2 linked regions of the Stegostoma tigrinum genome follow. The protein of the gene in region 1 purifies or fractionates together with the protein of each later gene. This does not show direct contact. Links are inferred from orthologs where the notes say so. Each region holds a gene or a part of one and is shown in the gene's direction. Other genes may lie near its edges.

Region 1 (7,217 bases):
GGCGCTCCCTCAGCACCGACCCTCTGACAGTGCAGCGCTCCCTCAGCACTGACCCTCCAACAGTGCCCACTCACTCAGCATTGACCCTCCGACAGTGCCCACTCACTCAGCACTGACCCTCCGACAGTGCGGTGCTCCCTCAGCACTGACCCTCCGACAGTGCGGCGCTCCCTCAGCACAGACCCTCTGACTGTTCCCACTCCCTCAGCACTGACCCTCCGACAGTGCGGCACCCCCTCAGCACTGACCCTCTGACTGTTCCCACTCCCTCAGCACTGACCCTCTGACTGTTCCCACTCCCTCAGCACTGACCCTCCAACAGTGCGACACTCCCTCAGCACCGACCCTCTGACAGTGCAGCGCTCCCTAAGTACTGACCCTCCGACAGTGCGACACTCCCTCAGCACTGACCCTCCAACTGTGCCCACTCACTCAGCATTGACCCTCCGACAGTGCCCACTCACTCAGCACTGACCCTCCGACATTGCCCACACCCTCAGCACTGACCCTCCGACAATGCGGTGCTCCCTCAGCACTGACCCTCCAACAGTGCGACACTCCCTCAGCACTGACCGTCCAACAGTGCGACACTCCCTCAGCACCGACCATCTGACAGTGCAGCGCTCCCTAAGTACTGACCCTCCAACAGTGCGACACTCCCTCAGCACTGACCCTTCAACAGTGCCCACTCCCTCAGCACTGACCCTCCGACAGTGCCCACTCACTCAGCACTGACCCTCCGACAGTGTGGCGCTCCCTCAGCACTGACCCTCCGACATTGCCCACTCCCTCAGCACTGACATTCCGACAATGCGGTGCTCCCTCAGCATTGACCCTCCGACAGTGCGGTCCTCCCTCAGCACTGACCCTCCGACAGTGTGGCGCTCCCTCAGCACTGACCCTCCGACAGTGCGGCGCTCCCTCAGCACTGACCCTCTGACAGTGCCCACTCCCTCAGCACTGACCCTCCGACAGTGCGACACTCCCTCAGCACTGACCCTCCAACAGTGCGACACTCCCTCAGCACCGACCCTCTGACAGTGCCCACTCACTCAGCATTGACCCTCCGACAGTGCCCACTCACTCAGCACTGACCCTCCGACAGTGCGGCGCTCCCTCAGCACTGACCCTCCGACAGTGCCCACTCCCTCAGCACTGACCCTTCGACAGTGCAGCGCTCCCTCAGTACTGACCCTCCGACAGTGCGGCGCTCCCTCAGCACTGACCCTCCGACAGTGCCCACTCACTCAGCACTGACCCTCCGACAGTGCGGCGCTCCCTCAGCACTGACCCTCTGACAGTGCCCACTTCCTCAGCACTGACCCTCCGACAGTGCAGCGCTCCCTCAGTACTGACCCTCCGACAGTGCAGCGCTCCCTCAGCACTGACCCTCCAACAGTGCCTACTCCCTCAGCACTGACCCTCCGACAGTGCCCGCTCCCTCAGCACTGACCCTCCAACAGTGCGGCACTCCCTCAGCACTGACCCTCCGACAGTGCGGTGCTCCCTCAGGTCTGACCCTCCGACAGTGCGGCGCTCCCTCAGCACTGACCCTCCGACAGTGCGGTGCTCCCTCAGCACTGACCCTCCAACAGTGCGGTGCTCCCTCTGCATTGACCCTCTTACAGTGCAGTGCTTCCTCAACATTGCTTTGGATTATCAGTCTGGATTTTACGCTCGTGTCAGTGCATGGGTGACTGTTCTTATGATGTCAGTTTGGGAGTGTTCCATACTGATCCAGTTGACAGCTGCATCACAGGATGATGAATGGGCAGATCGTTCACTATAACGCAGACGTGATTGCTCCTCGAAAACCTCACCTGAGATTACTGTGTCCCACTGGATGGAGAGTAGGGTGGACATGAGGCACTAGCTGCTTATTTCTGCTTTATCAAGAAGCATTCATGATCCAGATGGTCCCTGCTGAAGCACTGTAACTAATCAACAGAAGTTATCAAAATTAAAAATGACGTATCACAGCCCCGTGATGCCCACTGGTCCCTAAAGTCTTTTATTGTGTCAGGAGACACTCCAGGTTCTCTCTCTCGGAACACTCCGATGCAGATGTAAACACAGAAGAGGGGCAGATACTCAAGTGCTCACTGCCTGGTCTTGCCCATCTCGTCCTTAGCTGGGCCCATGAGGAGGTCCTCCAATCTGCACCACCATTCCGCCACCTCACCCAACAAACTCTCTGTACGGCCTGCCCATATGACAGTGATTGAGCGCATACAAAAATTTAAATCAGCTCCTTAACAAAACTAAACAGGCACTGGAAATGAAAACATTCAACGTAAATGAAAGCAATTGTTTCTTCAAGGCAACAAAAGTTTCTGGCTTCTCAGGTGCTTGCGAGTTTCTTTTTGCTTGGTTTGTTTCCTAACGAAGTTTTACAACACTCTGGTGAGTAAAGGGCATGACCAGAGACCATCACAAAATCATGATTTGAAATTCCACGAGTAAGAAGCTTATTGATTAATGAACATGTCTTTTCTGGGCAAGAACAGATCATGGGGAATGAAGGGGAGGGAGTGCTTCGGGGTGGGGGTAGGCTTAAGGACGAAGGGTGATTTAGAAGTGGGGGGTAAGGAGTCGAGGGAGTGAGGAAGAGAAATGAGTTGAATGAGTCGAGTGAGGAGTGGAGAGAGTGAGCAGGATTGAAGAGGAGAATAAGGGGTGGACTAGGTGAAGAAGAGTGAAAGAGGGAGTGAGGAGGAGTGGAAGGAATGAGGAAGAGTAAAGAGAGAAATGAGGAAAGGAGGAAGTGAGGAGTGAATAGGAGGAGGCATGAAGAGATGGAGTGAGGAGGAATGGAAGGAGTGAGGAGTGGAGGGAGTGAGGAGTGAAAAGGAGGGCAATGGAGTGAAGAGGAGTGGAGGGAGTGAAGGAGTGAGGAGTGAAAAGGAGTGAGATGGAGTGAAGAGAGGGCATGAAGAGGAGTGGAGGGACTGAGGATGAGTGAAAGATGGAGTGGAGGAGTGGAAGGAGTGAGGAGTGAAAAGGAGTGAGATGGAGTGAAGCAAGGGAATGAGGAGGAGTGGAGGGAGTGAGGAGTGGAGGAAATGAGGAAGAATGAAAGATGGAGTGAGGAGGAGTGGAAGGAGTGAGATGGAGTGAAGCGAAGGAATGAGGAGGAGTGGAGGGAGTCAGGAAGAATGAAAGATGGAATGAAGAGGAGTGAGGAGTGAAAAGGAGTGCGATGGAGTGAAGTGAGGGAATGAGGAGTGGAGGGAGTGAGGAGGAGTGAAAGATGGAGTGAAGCGAGGGAGTGATGAGGAGTGAAGCGAGGGAATGAAGAGGAGGAGTGAAAGATGGAGTGAAGCGAGGGAACGAGGAGGAGGAGGAGTGAAAGGTGGAGTGAAGCGAGGGAATGAGGAGGAGCGAAAGATGGAGTGAAGCGAGGGAGTGAGGAGGAGTGAGGTGCGAAAGATGGAGTGAAGCGAGGGAGTGAGGAAGAGTGAGGAGCGAAAGATGGAGTGAAGCGAGGGAGTGAGGAGGAGGAGGAGTGAAAGATGGAGTGAAGCGAGGGAGTGAGGAGGAGTGAGGTGCGAAAGATGGAGTGAAGCGAGGGAGTGAGGAGGAGGAGGAGTGAAAGATGGAGTGAAGCGAGGGAGTGAGGAGGAGGAGGAGTGAAAGGTGGAGTGAAGCGAGGGAGTGAGGAGGAGGAGGAGCGAAAGATGGAGTGAAGCGAGGGAGTGAGGAGGAGGAGGAGTGAAAGATGGAGTGAAGCGAGGGAGTGAGGAGGAGTGAGGTGCGAAAGATGGAGTGAAGCGAGGGAGTGAGGAGGAGGAGGAGTGAAAGATGGAGTGAAGCGAGGGAGTGAGGAGGAGGAGGAGTGAAAGGTGGAGTGAAGCGAGGGAGTGAGGAGGAGTGAGGTGCGAAAGATGGAGTGAAGCGAGGGAGTGAGGAGGAGTGAGGTGCGAAAGATGGAGTGAAGCGAGGGAGTGAGGAGGAGGAGGAGTGAAAGATGGAGTGAAGCGAGGGAGTGAGGAGGAGGAGTGGAGGGATAATGAAGAAAGAACGAGGAGAGAATGGAAAAGGTGGCCTAGGATAGAGGGGGTGTTAGTGGAGAGTTGTTGAGGATTGGGATGAGGGGGCTGAGGTATACCATTTGTTGGGGGGAGGGCAGGGAAGTGGAGGTGGGGAACATATTTATCCCTGCTGCAAACTCTTGGTTCCGCAAAGAGCTTACACCCACCCGGACCCGGGAAACGCTGCACACAACCATCGGAACCGGAAGTGAGCTTTTCGCCGCCGCGCTGTGTCACCGCGCCAGCCTGCGGGGGAGGGCGTTCGGCGGCGGAACCGCTTCCGGCGGTCACAAAGGTAGGCGGCAGTGAAAGCCGGTGGCGGACACCGGGGCCTGGGTCGGGCCTTACCGGCCCCAGACGAGCGGGACGGGGAGATCGGCCGGACCCGGTTGGCCCAGCTAGACCCGCCCTCTCCGGGACTAGCCCCGCCCCCTCCAGGACCAGCCCCACCCTTATACCCAGACCCCGCCTCCTCCCACTGCAGCCCCCGCCTCCGCTGCCTCTCCCTGCTAGCCCGAGCCTGATGGGCTGAAGGGTCTCCTTCCTGTACTGTATGCCCTTTAGATTTAGGTAGGGTTGCTGTTCCTCACCACTGTTGCTGTAGGTAAGTGCCCAAGAAGCCATTCAGCCCCTCTGAATCCTTCAGGACCACAGCAATGTGTTGGATCTGTGACTGATCTCCTGTGTCTCATTTCCCTGAAGTTATTTACTTGAGTAAAAAGCATCAGAGTCACATTTTGATCTGTAACAATTCCATTTGGTGGACGGAATTGCTTTTGGCTTTAATCTATTTTTTGAAGAAGTGAGTTTTCCCTTAAATTCTCAAGCTATAGCTATATTTTCAGTGGTGAGTGGGGTTCCACAGGGCCCTGTCCTTGGGCCTCTACTGCTTGTAATTTTTATTAATGACTTGGATGAGGGGATTGAAGGATGGGTCAGCAAGTTTGCAGACGACACAAAGGTCGGAGGTGTCATTGACAGTGTAGAGGGCCGTTGTAGGCTGCAGCGGGACATTGACAGGATGCAGAGACGGGCTGAGAGGTGGCAGATGGAGTTCAACCTGGATAAATGCGAGGTGATGCATTTTGGAAGGTCGAATTTGAAAGCTGAGTACAGGATTAAGGATAGGATTCTTGGAAGTGTGGAGGAACAGAGGGATCTTGGTGTGCAGATACATAGATCCCTTAAAATGGCCACCCAAGTGGACAGGGTTGTTAAGAAAGCATATGGTGTTTTGGCTTTCATTAACAGGGGGATTGAGTTTAAGAGTCGTGAGATCTTGTTGCAGCTCTATAAAACTTTGCTTAGACCGCACTTGGAATACTGCGTCCAGTTCTGGGCGCCCTATTATAGGAAAGATGTGGATGCTTTGGAGAGGGTTCAGAGGAGGTTTACCAGGATGCTGCCTGGACTGGAGGGCTTATCTTATGAAGAGAGGTTGACTGAGCTCGGTCTCTTTTCATTGGAGAAAAGGAGGAGGAGAGGGGACCTAATTGAGGTATACAAGATAATGAGAGGCATAGATAGAGTTGATAGCCAGAGACTATTTCCCAGGGCAGAAATGGCTAGCACGAGGGGTCATAGTTTTAAGCTGGTTGGAGGAAAGTATAGAGGGGATGTCAGAGGCGGGTTCTTTACGCAGAGAGTTGTGAGAGCATGGAATGCGTTGCCAGCAGCAGTTGTGGAAGCAAGGTCATTGGGGACATTTAAGAGACTGCTGGACATGTATATGGTCACAGAAATTTGAGGGTGCATACATGAGGATCAATGGTCGGCACAACATTGTGGGCTGAAGGGCCTGTTCTGTGCTGTACTGTTCTATGTTCTTTTCTATGTTCTATAGGGGCAGAACTAGGCCATTTGGTCCATCTAACTCTGTTCTGCTGTTTGATCATGGCTGATAATCCTCACCCCTATTTTCTTGCCTTCTCCCCACAATCCTTCAGCCCATTACCAATTAAAAATCTGTGTAACTCCTCCATATATTCACTCACTGTCCCAGCATCCACCTTACTTTGGAGTAGCCAATTCCACAGATTCACAACCCTTTGGGAGAAGCAGTTTCTCCTCAACTTTGTTTTAGATTTGCTACCCCTCATCTTAGAATGCCCCCACAAAAGGAAGAATCTGCTTCACATCTATTTTATCCACACCTTGTATCATCTCGAATACCTCAATTTGATCTCCCCTCATTCTTCTAAATTCTGGAATGTATAGGCCTAAACTCTTCATAAACTCTCGCTTCATATCCCTAAATCCCTCAGCTCTAGGATCAATCCAGTGAACCTCTTCTGAACTGCCTCCAATGCTATTACATCTTTCCTCAAATAAGGGACCAAAACTGTGCACAATACACAGGTGTGGTCTCACCAATGCCTTGCATAGTGTGTTTTGAGAAGATTTGTAGCTCAGGTTGAGGTTCTGGATGTGAGTTTGCTCGCTGAGCTGAAAGGTTCGTTTTCAGACGTTTCGTCACCATTCTAGGTAACATCAGATATTACCTAGAATGGTGACGAAACGTCTGAAAACTAACCTTCCAGCTCAGCGAGCAAACTCACATCCAGAGCCTTGCATAGTCGTAATGATGCTTCTTTACCTTTGTATTCCATTCCATTACCTATAAAAGCCAACATTCCACTTGTTATCTTTATTATCTGCTGTGCCTGCATGCTAGCTTTTTGTGACTCATGAAATGTGTCATTTTTACAACATATCTGTGAAAACTTGGCAACTGCTTCGCAGAACATCTCGCAAAAACATGCTCGCAAAAAAGACTTTGAACTACCTGTTGCCTGCCACTTCAATACACCACCTTGCTCCCTGGCCAACATCTCTGTCTCTGGCTTGCTGCCGTGTTCCAGTGAAATCCAACGGAAGCTGGAAGAACAACACCTAAATTTCCGCTTGGGGACCCTATGGCCCTCCGGACTCAATATTGAGTTCAATAATTTTAAGGCCTAGACTCTCCCATGTCCCAGCGCCCCCCCACCCCACACACCAGGCCTTGTTACCACATAGCCTGCCATTTACACACCCCCTGTTGTTAGTCACTAAAAGTCCCCATTAACAGCTATTCACCCTCTTGTCTAGGGCTTTTTTCATTTGAGCGAAGAAAGATGAGAGGTGACTCGATAGAGCTGATGATGAGAGACAAAACAATGAGAGGCATAGATAGAGTGTATAGTT
Region 2 (8,094 bases), on another chromosome or scaffold:
TGATCAAGCTGGTTGGGTCCTAAAGGACATAACTGCTAGACTGGGTTCTGTGGCAGGTGGTGAGGGAACCAACAAGGGGGAAAGCATAACTGATCTCATCCTTCCCAATCTGCCAGCTGCAGATGTATCTGTCCATGACAGTATCAGTAGGATTGACCACTGCCCAGTCCTTGTAGAGGTGAAGACCTGCCTTCACATTGAGAATACCTCCATCATGTTGTGTGGCACTATCACCGTATTAAATGGAACATATTTCAAACAGATCTAGCAACTCATGACTGGCCATCCACGATTGTGTGCCATCAACAACACCAGAATGGTACTCCAGCACAGTCTGCAACCCCATGGTCCAGCATATCCCCCATTGTCAAACCAGGGGACCAAACCTGCTTCAATGAGAGCACAGGAGAACATGCCAGGAGCAGCACCAGGCATACCTAAGCCTGAGGTGTCAAGCTAGACACTGATAAACAATTGCACAACCAATGGATCAGATCTAAGCTCTGCAGTCCTGCCACATCCTTTACAATTAACAGGAGGGGGAGGCTCCACGAATATCTCCATCCTCAATGATGGGGGATCTTCACACATCAGCATGAAAGCAAAAGCTGAAATGTTTGTTATTCTGCTTCAGCCAGCAGTGCCAAGTAGATGATCCATTTCAGCCTCTCCTTGAGGTCTCCAGCATCACAAATTGCAGGCTTTAGCCAATTTGCTTAACTCTACATGATCAAAAGAGCGCTGACAATATTACAGCAACACTGCTGAAGTCTGTAACACCAGAACTAGACGGTCTCTGAGCCAAGCTGTTCCAGTACGGCTGCAACACTGGCATCTACCTCGAAATGTGGAATATTGCCCAGCTATGTCCTGCATACAAAATAAAAGAGCAAAACCCAACCCATGCAATTACTGCTCCATCTGTCGACTTGCAATCATTAACAAAATGATGGAGGGTGTCATCCACAGTGCTATCGAGTAGCACTTGCTTAGCAGTAACCTGCTTAGTGATGCTCAGTTTGTGTTACCAATGACCACTCAGCTCCTGACCTGTTTTCAGTCTGAGTTCAAACATGGACCAAAGAGCCGAATTCCAGAGGTGAGGTGAGAGTGACTGCCCTTGATGTTAAGGCTGCATTTAACTGGGGACGGCATCTAAGAATCAGAGTCCTAGGAAAACAGGAATCAATGGAAATAGGGGGAAAACTCTCAGATGGTTGGAGTCATACCTGGAACATAAGAAGATAGCTGTAGTTGTTGGAGGGCAGTTATCTCAGCTCCAGGACATCTCAGCAGGAGTTCCTCAGGGTAGTGTCCATGGCCCAACCATCCACAGCTGCTTCACCAATGGTCTTCCCTCCTTCGTAAGGTCAGAAGTGGGGATGTTTGCCGATGAGTGCACAATGTTCAGCACCATTCACAACTCCTCAGATACTGCAGCAGTCCATGTTCAAATACAGCAAGACCTGGACAGTAGACAGGCTTGGGCTGTTGAGTGGAAAGAAACATTTGGCCCAGACAAGTACCAGGCAATATCCAATCCCAATAAGAGAGAATCCAATCATCTCCCCTTTGACCTTCAATGACATTACCATCACCATCGATATCCCGGGAGCCACCACTGACCAGAAACTGAACTGAACTCACCCTATAGATACTGTGGCCATAAGATCAGGTCAGGGGTTTGGGATTCTGTGGTGGGTGTCTCACTGCTCTGTCTCTTTGGAGATCATAAGGCATTGTACAATAAAAGACAGAAGAAGTGGTAGTGGTTATAACGTAGATAAGACATAGATTCAGTAGGGTTCTTGTTTGTACTCAGTAAGTTGCTGATTTTAGGTGGTTCAAATCACCCCCAGGTCATTAGGTTCTGACACTGGTCTTACTTAGGGAATGTGGAAGGAAGGAGGCATTAGACAGGTGTTTCAGGTCAAAAGAATCTCTGTGTTTATTTAAATATAAAAAAGGTAATTATGCTACAAGAAATATAGGTAAAAGCACTGAACAGTGAAATTAACACTCCCAAGTATACAGAGGACACTAATTAAATACACTATCAAATTAAACACAGACTAAACATTGTTAGAACCTAAACAGCAGTTTTAATCACAGAAATTTTAATCAGGCTTCCTACCCTTGGAGTCCCACACACTGCCACCACCTGCCTTCCCCTCCCTGCTAGCTAGATTGGAAACTTTGGGGTCTCTGGAGTTTAAGTTTGCCACGAAGGAAAATGCAGTTTTGAAGTACAGCTGGCTGTGGAGGTTCTTATTGTCAGTTCCCTTGGTTCAGAACAGGCTCATGTCCGGACGTTCTGCGTTGTCAAAACCATCAGATTTGCATAGAATTGGTTTTTGGTATCTAAGTGCCTGGTTCACATTGATTGGCTAAATTCAAAACTTGTCTTGGTAAAAGGTGCTGCCTGGCCTGCTAACTGTACGGCCTTATGATACAAATGTTTCAATTCGGGTGCTTTCTGTGTATGCGCAAACTTTCAAGCCGCTGCTCACAGGTATCCATTTTAAATCTCTCAGTGCAGCAAAAGCACATAATCTTTTAAAGGGACCACACAATGCTTCCTGTGCCCCCTCCAGCATTTTACAAACACCAAATTCTAACTTCCTACCTCCCAATCTACAAGTGCTCTACCCAACTTCGCAACACTAAGGAACTACTACGTATGCATAATTTCTTCAGTATAAATTAGACCCACAGAGTCTGCGGCAGCTTCAGTTTGCCCAGAATACTGACAGAGCTGAAATAGTGTATAAGGAGAATGCGGGATCTGTTTGACTCATTCAAGTGGGAGCCCATTGCTCTAGCAGAAGATTTGACCTTAGTTGAAGTTTGGAACTGATGTATGTGAGTTACATGGCTAAGCCCTTCTCATGGCTAGAACAAAGAACAAAGAAAATTACAGCACAGGAATAGGCCATTCGGCCCTCCAAACCTGCACCGATCCACATCCTCTATCTAAACCTGTCACCTATTTTCCAAGATAGTAGGAATCGCAGATGCTGGAGAATCTGAGATAACAAGGTGCAGAGCTGGATGAACACAGCAGGCCAAGCAGCATCAGAGGAGCAGGAGGATCTGATGCTACTTGGCCTGCTGTGTTCATCCAGCTCTACACCTTGTTATCTTACCTATTTTCCAAGGATCTGTATCCCTCTGCTCCCTGCCCATTCATGTATCTGTCTAGATACATCTTAAATGAAGCTATCATGCCCGCCTCTACCACCTCCGCTGGCAATGTATTCCAGGCACCCAACACCCTCTGCGTAAAGAACTTGCCACACATATCTCCCTTAAACTTTTCCTCTCACACCTTGAAATCGTGACCCTCCAGTAATTGAGTCCCCCACTCTGGGAAAAATCTTCTTGCTATCCACCCTGTATGTACCTCTCCTGATTTTGTAGACCTCACTCAGGTCCCCCCTCAAACTCTGTCTTGCATGTAAATAATCCGAATCTACTCAACCTCTCTTCATAGCTAGTGCCCTCCATAGCAGGCAACATCCTGGTGAACCTCCTCTGCACCGTCTCCAAAGCATCCACATCCTTTTGGTAATGTGGCGACCAGAACTGTACGCAATATTCCAAATGTGGTCAAACCAAAGTCCTACACAACTGTAACATGACCTGTCAATTCTTGTACTCAATACCCTGTCCGATGAATGAAAGCATGCCGTCTGCCTTCTTGACCACTCTATTCACCTGTTTCGCCACCTTCAAGGTACAATGGCCCTGGACACCCAGATCTCTCTGTTCATCAATTTTCCCCAGGGCTTTTCCATTTACTGTGTAGTTCGCTCAAACTATGGCAACTATTAGACTAAGACAACACTTTCTTGATTGGGCATGGTATCATTTCAATTGCTCCATGCAGCATCCTATGAAAAATCAAACTAATTCTTGTTGTAGCCTATTAGATTTAGATTTAGCCTATCAGACATCACAAAATCAGATAATAGTCTACAGTTCACTCCAGAAGAATGGATGAAGTGTGGGCATATTAGGCTTTCTAGCTGTGATACATTTGACACAAAAGAGAGATTGAAGGGAAAAGTCCTGCGGAGACAAAGGACTGTGCTTTAAAGACAAGAAAATGTGAGGCTGGTTGAACACAGCAGGCCAAGCAGCATCTCAGGAGCACAAAAGCTGACGTTTCGGGCCTAGACCCTTCATCAGAGAGGGGGATGGGGAGAGGGAACTGGAATAAATAGGGAGAGAGGGGGAGGCGGACCAAAGATGGAGAGTAAAGAAGATAGGTGGAGAGAGTATAGGTGGGGAGGTAGGGAGGGGATAGGTCAGTCCAGGGAAGACGGACAGGTCAAGGAGGTGGGATGAGGTTAGTAGGTAGATGGGGGTGTGGCTTGGGGTGGGAGGAAGGGATGGGTGAGAGGAAGAACCGGTTAGGGAGGCAGAGACAGGTTGGACTGGTATTGGGATGCAGTGGGTGGGGGGGAAGAGCTGGGCTGGTTGTGTGGTGCAGTGGGGGGAGGGGACGAACTGGGCTGGTTGAGGGATGCAGTAGGGGAAGGGGAGATTTTGAAACTGGTGAAGTCCACATTGATACCATTAGGCTGCAGGGTTCCCAGGCAGAATATGAGTTGCTGTTCCTGCAACCTTCGGGTGGCATCATTGTGGCAGTGCAGGAGGCCCATGATGGACATGTCATCTAAAGAATGGGAGGGGGAGTGGAAATGGTTTGCGACTGGGAGGTGCAGTTGTTTGTTGCGAACTGAGCGGAGGTGTTCTGCAAAGCGGTCTCCAAGCCTCCGCTTGGTTTCCCCAATGCAGAGAAGCCACACCGGGTACAGTGGATGCAGTATACCACATTGGCAGATGTGCAGGTGAACCTCTGCTTGATGTGGATTCCACATCTGCAGTTCCCATTATCACTGTGCTTTAAAGATTGCTTTAGGCCAGATGTACCAACCTCTCAGAGAAACTGGAGATGGAGCAGGTACATTTCGCCAGGCCCCCGGGAGATGGCGCTCTGTCACCAGGCTCGAATGCGCTGGCGCGTATTCAGCGCAGTGACTGATGGGAGTTCAAGATGGCGACGCCCATCTGATTCTTCAAATCGGAGTTTAAGTGAATTTTGCTTTTGGCGCGGATTCGGAGCAAAAACCAAATCCCCGGATTTTGGAGGCGGATGGTCGCAGAGAAACCGTCATTAGAAGTTTCACTCGTTATTTTAACAGGTCGGTTCGGTCGTCTTTTATTAATAATAATGACCTGAAATATTCTCATCATTCCCCGATTTCCTTCTTTACCCCAGTGACCCCCTTCACCCGGTTGTACCCCCCCGCCCCACACCCTCCCACGCCCCACCCTACGCCAAATATCCCACCCCACCCCACCCCAACCCAATGTCTCTTCCTCCATTGCTCCCACCTCACCTGACTCCCCCTTTGCCCCACACTCTCCCCATCTCCTGCTCCACTCCCATATCTCCTCCACAACCTGAAATCTCTCACTTCTCGTTATCTCCTTTGGCTCCCCTTCTTCTGCATCAAGAGTTGAGTTATTTTGTTCTGAAGAAGTGTCAATGGACTCAATGTTAGTTCTGTTTCTCTGCTCACAGATCTTGCCAGACTTGCTGAGTTTCTCCTGCACTTAGTGTTTGTTTCAGATCTCCAGCGACTTCAGTTCTTTGATTTATTTTATTTGAGTTACATTGCTGTCTGCACAGCACTTGCTTTGAATTTTAGTTTTTCTTAAGTCGTTGCTTTTCTTCAAGCAGAAATAATGCTGATATCTGGAACCCATGTCGAACGTCTGTGAAGAGAGGGTAACAATGATTGCAGCAGGGGAAATGCAGGAGTTTGTTCCGTTCGGCCGTGACCACTGCAGGCGCCACCCTAATGCCACAAATCTTCAGCTTCGGCAGCTGCAGCCTGCTTCAGAACTGTGGTCCTCTGATGGTGACGCAGGATTGGTGGGATCACTGAGAGAAGTTACAATCCATGAGAAACAGAAGGTGCAGGTTTGAAACTCTCATCTGAAATTATCAGTAACCTCTAAAATGAAGAGCTGACATGTTCTGCAGTAGGTTGCCAAAGACTTTATAATAAAGATTTTGAATTTTCCAAGTTACAGTTGAACTTGTACACATGGATTTTGGGGAATCATCAAAAGGATATTGGGTGGGAAAATGACTAGTAATAGAAATAAATTCTACTTATATTGCCTCTTTCACAACTTCAGTCCCCTGCATCATTGTACACCCAATGTCATCTTGCTCTATAGGAATTATTGCATCCAGTGTACAAACAAGATTTCATAAACATGGTCAGGTAATCGTAGAAGTTCGTAGAATCCCTACAGTGTTGAAACAGGCCCTTCGGCCCAACAAGTCCACACCGACCCTCGGGTCACCCGTCCAAATCCATCCCTCTATAACCCACCTAATCTGCACATCCCTGAACACTATGGGCATTTAGCATAGCCAATCCATCTAGCCTGCAAATCTTTGGACTGTGGGAGGAAACCGGAGCACCCGGAGGAAACCCACGCAGACACTGGGAGAATGTGCAAACTCCACACAGACGGTTACCCGAGGCTGGAATTGAACCCGGGTCCCTGGTGCTGTGAGGCAGCACTGCTAACCACCGTGTCACCCTTAAGAATGGCTGGTTTAGCAACATTGGCTGAGGGATAAATGTTGGCCAGGAAATTCGTGAGAACTGTCCTGCTCCTCTCAGAAGAGTCACAGGGTCTTTTGTGTGCGCACCTGAGAGAGTGCTTTGGCTTAACAGCTCATCGGACCACTCAGACCCTGGATTCCAGCATTTCCTCAGTGCTGTGCTGAAGTGCCATCAACAATTTGTGCACACCTTGCTGGAGTGGACTTGAATTCTCAACCTTCTGACTCAGAATGTGCCAGTACTATTCCACGGCTGAAGTGCATCTGAGGCTTCAGTGCCCCAAGAATAATAGATAATAACACAAAAATAGGTGGAAAGGCAAGTTTCAGGAGACACTCAGACATTTTACAAAAAGATAGTTATACATGAAGTGGACAAGGAAATTGTAATACTTGTGCACACAATGCACAAAGCTAGCACCAGGTGCAGCGGGGTAATCAGGAAGGGAAATGGAATGTTGGCCCTTATTTCAAAAGGATTGGGATATGAGAGTAGGGAAGTCTTTTTTGCAGCTGAACAAGGTGCTGATGAGACCCCAACTGGAGTACTGAGAGCAGTTTTGGTTCCCTTATTTAAGAGATACCATTTCATTGGAGGAATTTGCGAAGGTTCACAGGGATGACCCCCAGCACAGAGGAATTGTCTTATTAGCAAAGATCAAACAGGTTGGGACTCTACTCACTGGAGTTTAGAAAAATGAGAGAAGATCACGTTGAAATCAATATGAATTTTTCAGCGCTTGGCAGGGTAAATGCTGAGAGGGTGTTTCCTCTCATTGGAGAGCCTCAGACCAGTAGGCATAGTCGACTTAAGACTGAGCTGAGGAGGAATTTCTTCTCTGAGAGGGTTGAGTGTCTTTGGAGTGCCACAGAGAGCTGTGAGGGCAGAGTCTTTGTGCATATTTAAGGCTGAGATAGGTTGTTAATTAGTTGGGCAATCCAGGGTTACAGGAAAATGGAAGTGAGGCATGTTGAATCAGCCACAATTCTGTTGAATGGCATAGCAGATTTGAGGGGCTGAATGGCCTACTTCTGAGGGGAGAATATAAAAGAAGTTCAGAATTTTGAAAACATATCCAAGAGTTGACCACATTTTGCCCTGATACATTTAACCTCGGGTGGGTGACTGTCTGTCTGGAGTTTGCACGTTCTCCCTGTGTCTGTTTGGGTTCCTTTGGGTGCTCCAGTTTTGCCCCACAGTCCAAAGATGTGCTGGTTTAAGTGGATTTGCCATGCTAAACTGCCCTGTACTGCCCAGGGGTGCGTAGCCGAAGTGGATTAGCCATGGGAAATGCAGGGTTAGGGTGGAGGGTGGGTTGTGGTAGGATGCTCTTTGGAGGGTTGCTGTGAGCTTGATGGGCTGAGTGGCCTTCATCCATGCTGTATGGATTCCATGATTCTTCTTGCTGCTGCACAGTGCAAGTGGCAACAGGCCAAAT

The links.
Region 2: the proteins of anapc15 (region 1) and anapc1 purify together in Homo sapiens (affinity purification with mass spectrometry; 3 studies listed by BioGRID and IntAct, with this or other methods). This does not show direct contact. The link is inferred for Stegostoma tigrinum from reciprocal best matches to the Homo sapiens genes ANAPC15 and ANAPC1.

The regions. Positions count from the first base shown.
Region 1 is NC_081359.1:110,845,374-110,852,590, reverse strand, and holds the start of anapc15 (anaphase-promoting complex subunit 15), read left to right. Parts: upstream 1-4,210; 5' UTR 4,211-4,326; intron 4,327-4,332; exon of another isoform or gene 4,333-4,635; intron 4,636-4,686; exon of another isoform or gene 4,687-4,833; intron 4,834-7,217. UniProt on the Homo sapiens protein: Component of the anaphase promoting complex/cyclosome (APC/C), a cell cycle-regulated E3 ubiquitin ligase that controls progression through mitosis and the G1 phase of the cell cycle.
Region 2 is NC_081357.1:20,343,923-20,352,016, forward strand, and holds the start of anapc1 (anaphase-promoting complex subunit 1), read left to right. Parts: upstream 1-5,056; 5' UTR 5,057-5,210; intron 5,211-5,752; 5' UTR 5,753-5,776; coding exon 5,777-5,995; intron 5,996-8,094. UniProt on the Homo sapiens protein: Component of the anaphase promoting complex/cyclosome (APC/C), a cell cycle-regulated E3 ubiquitin ligase that controls progression through mitosis and the G1 phase of the cell cycle.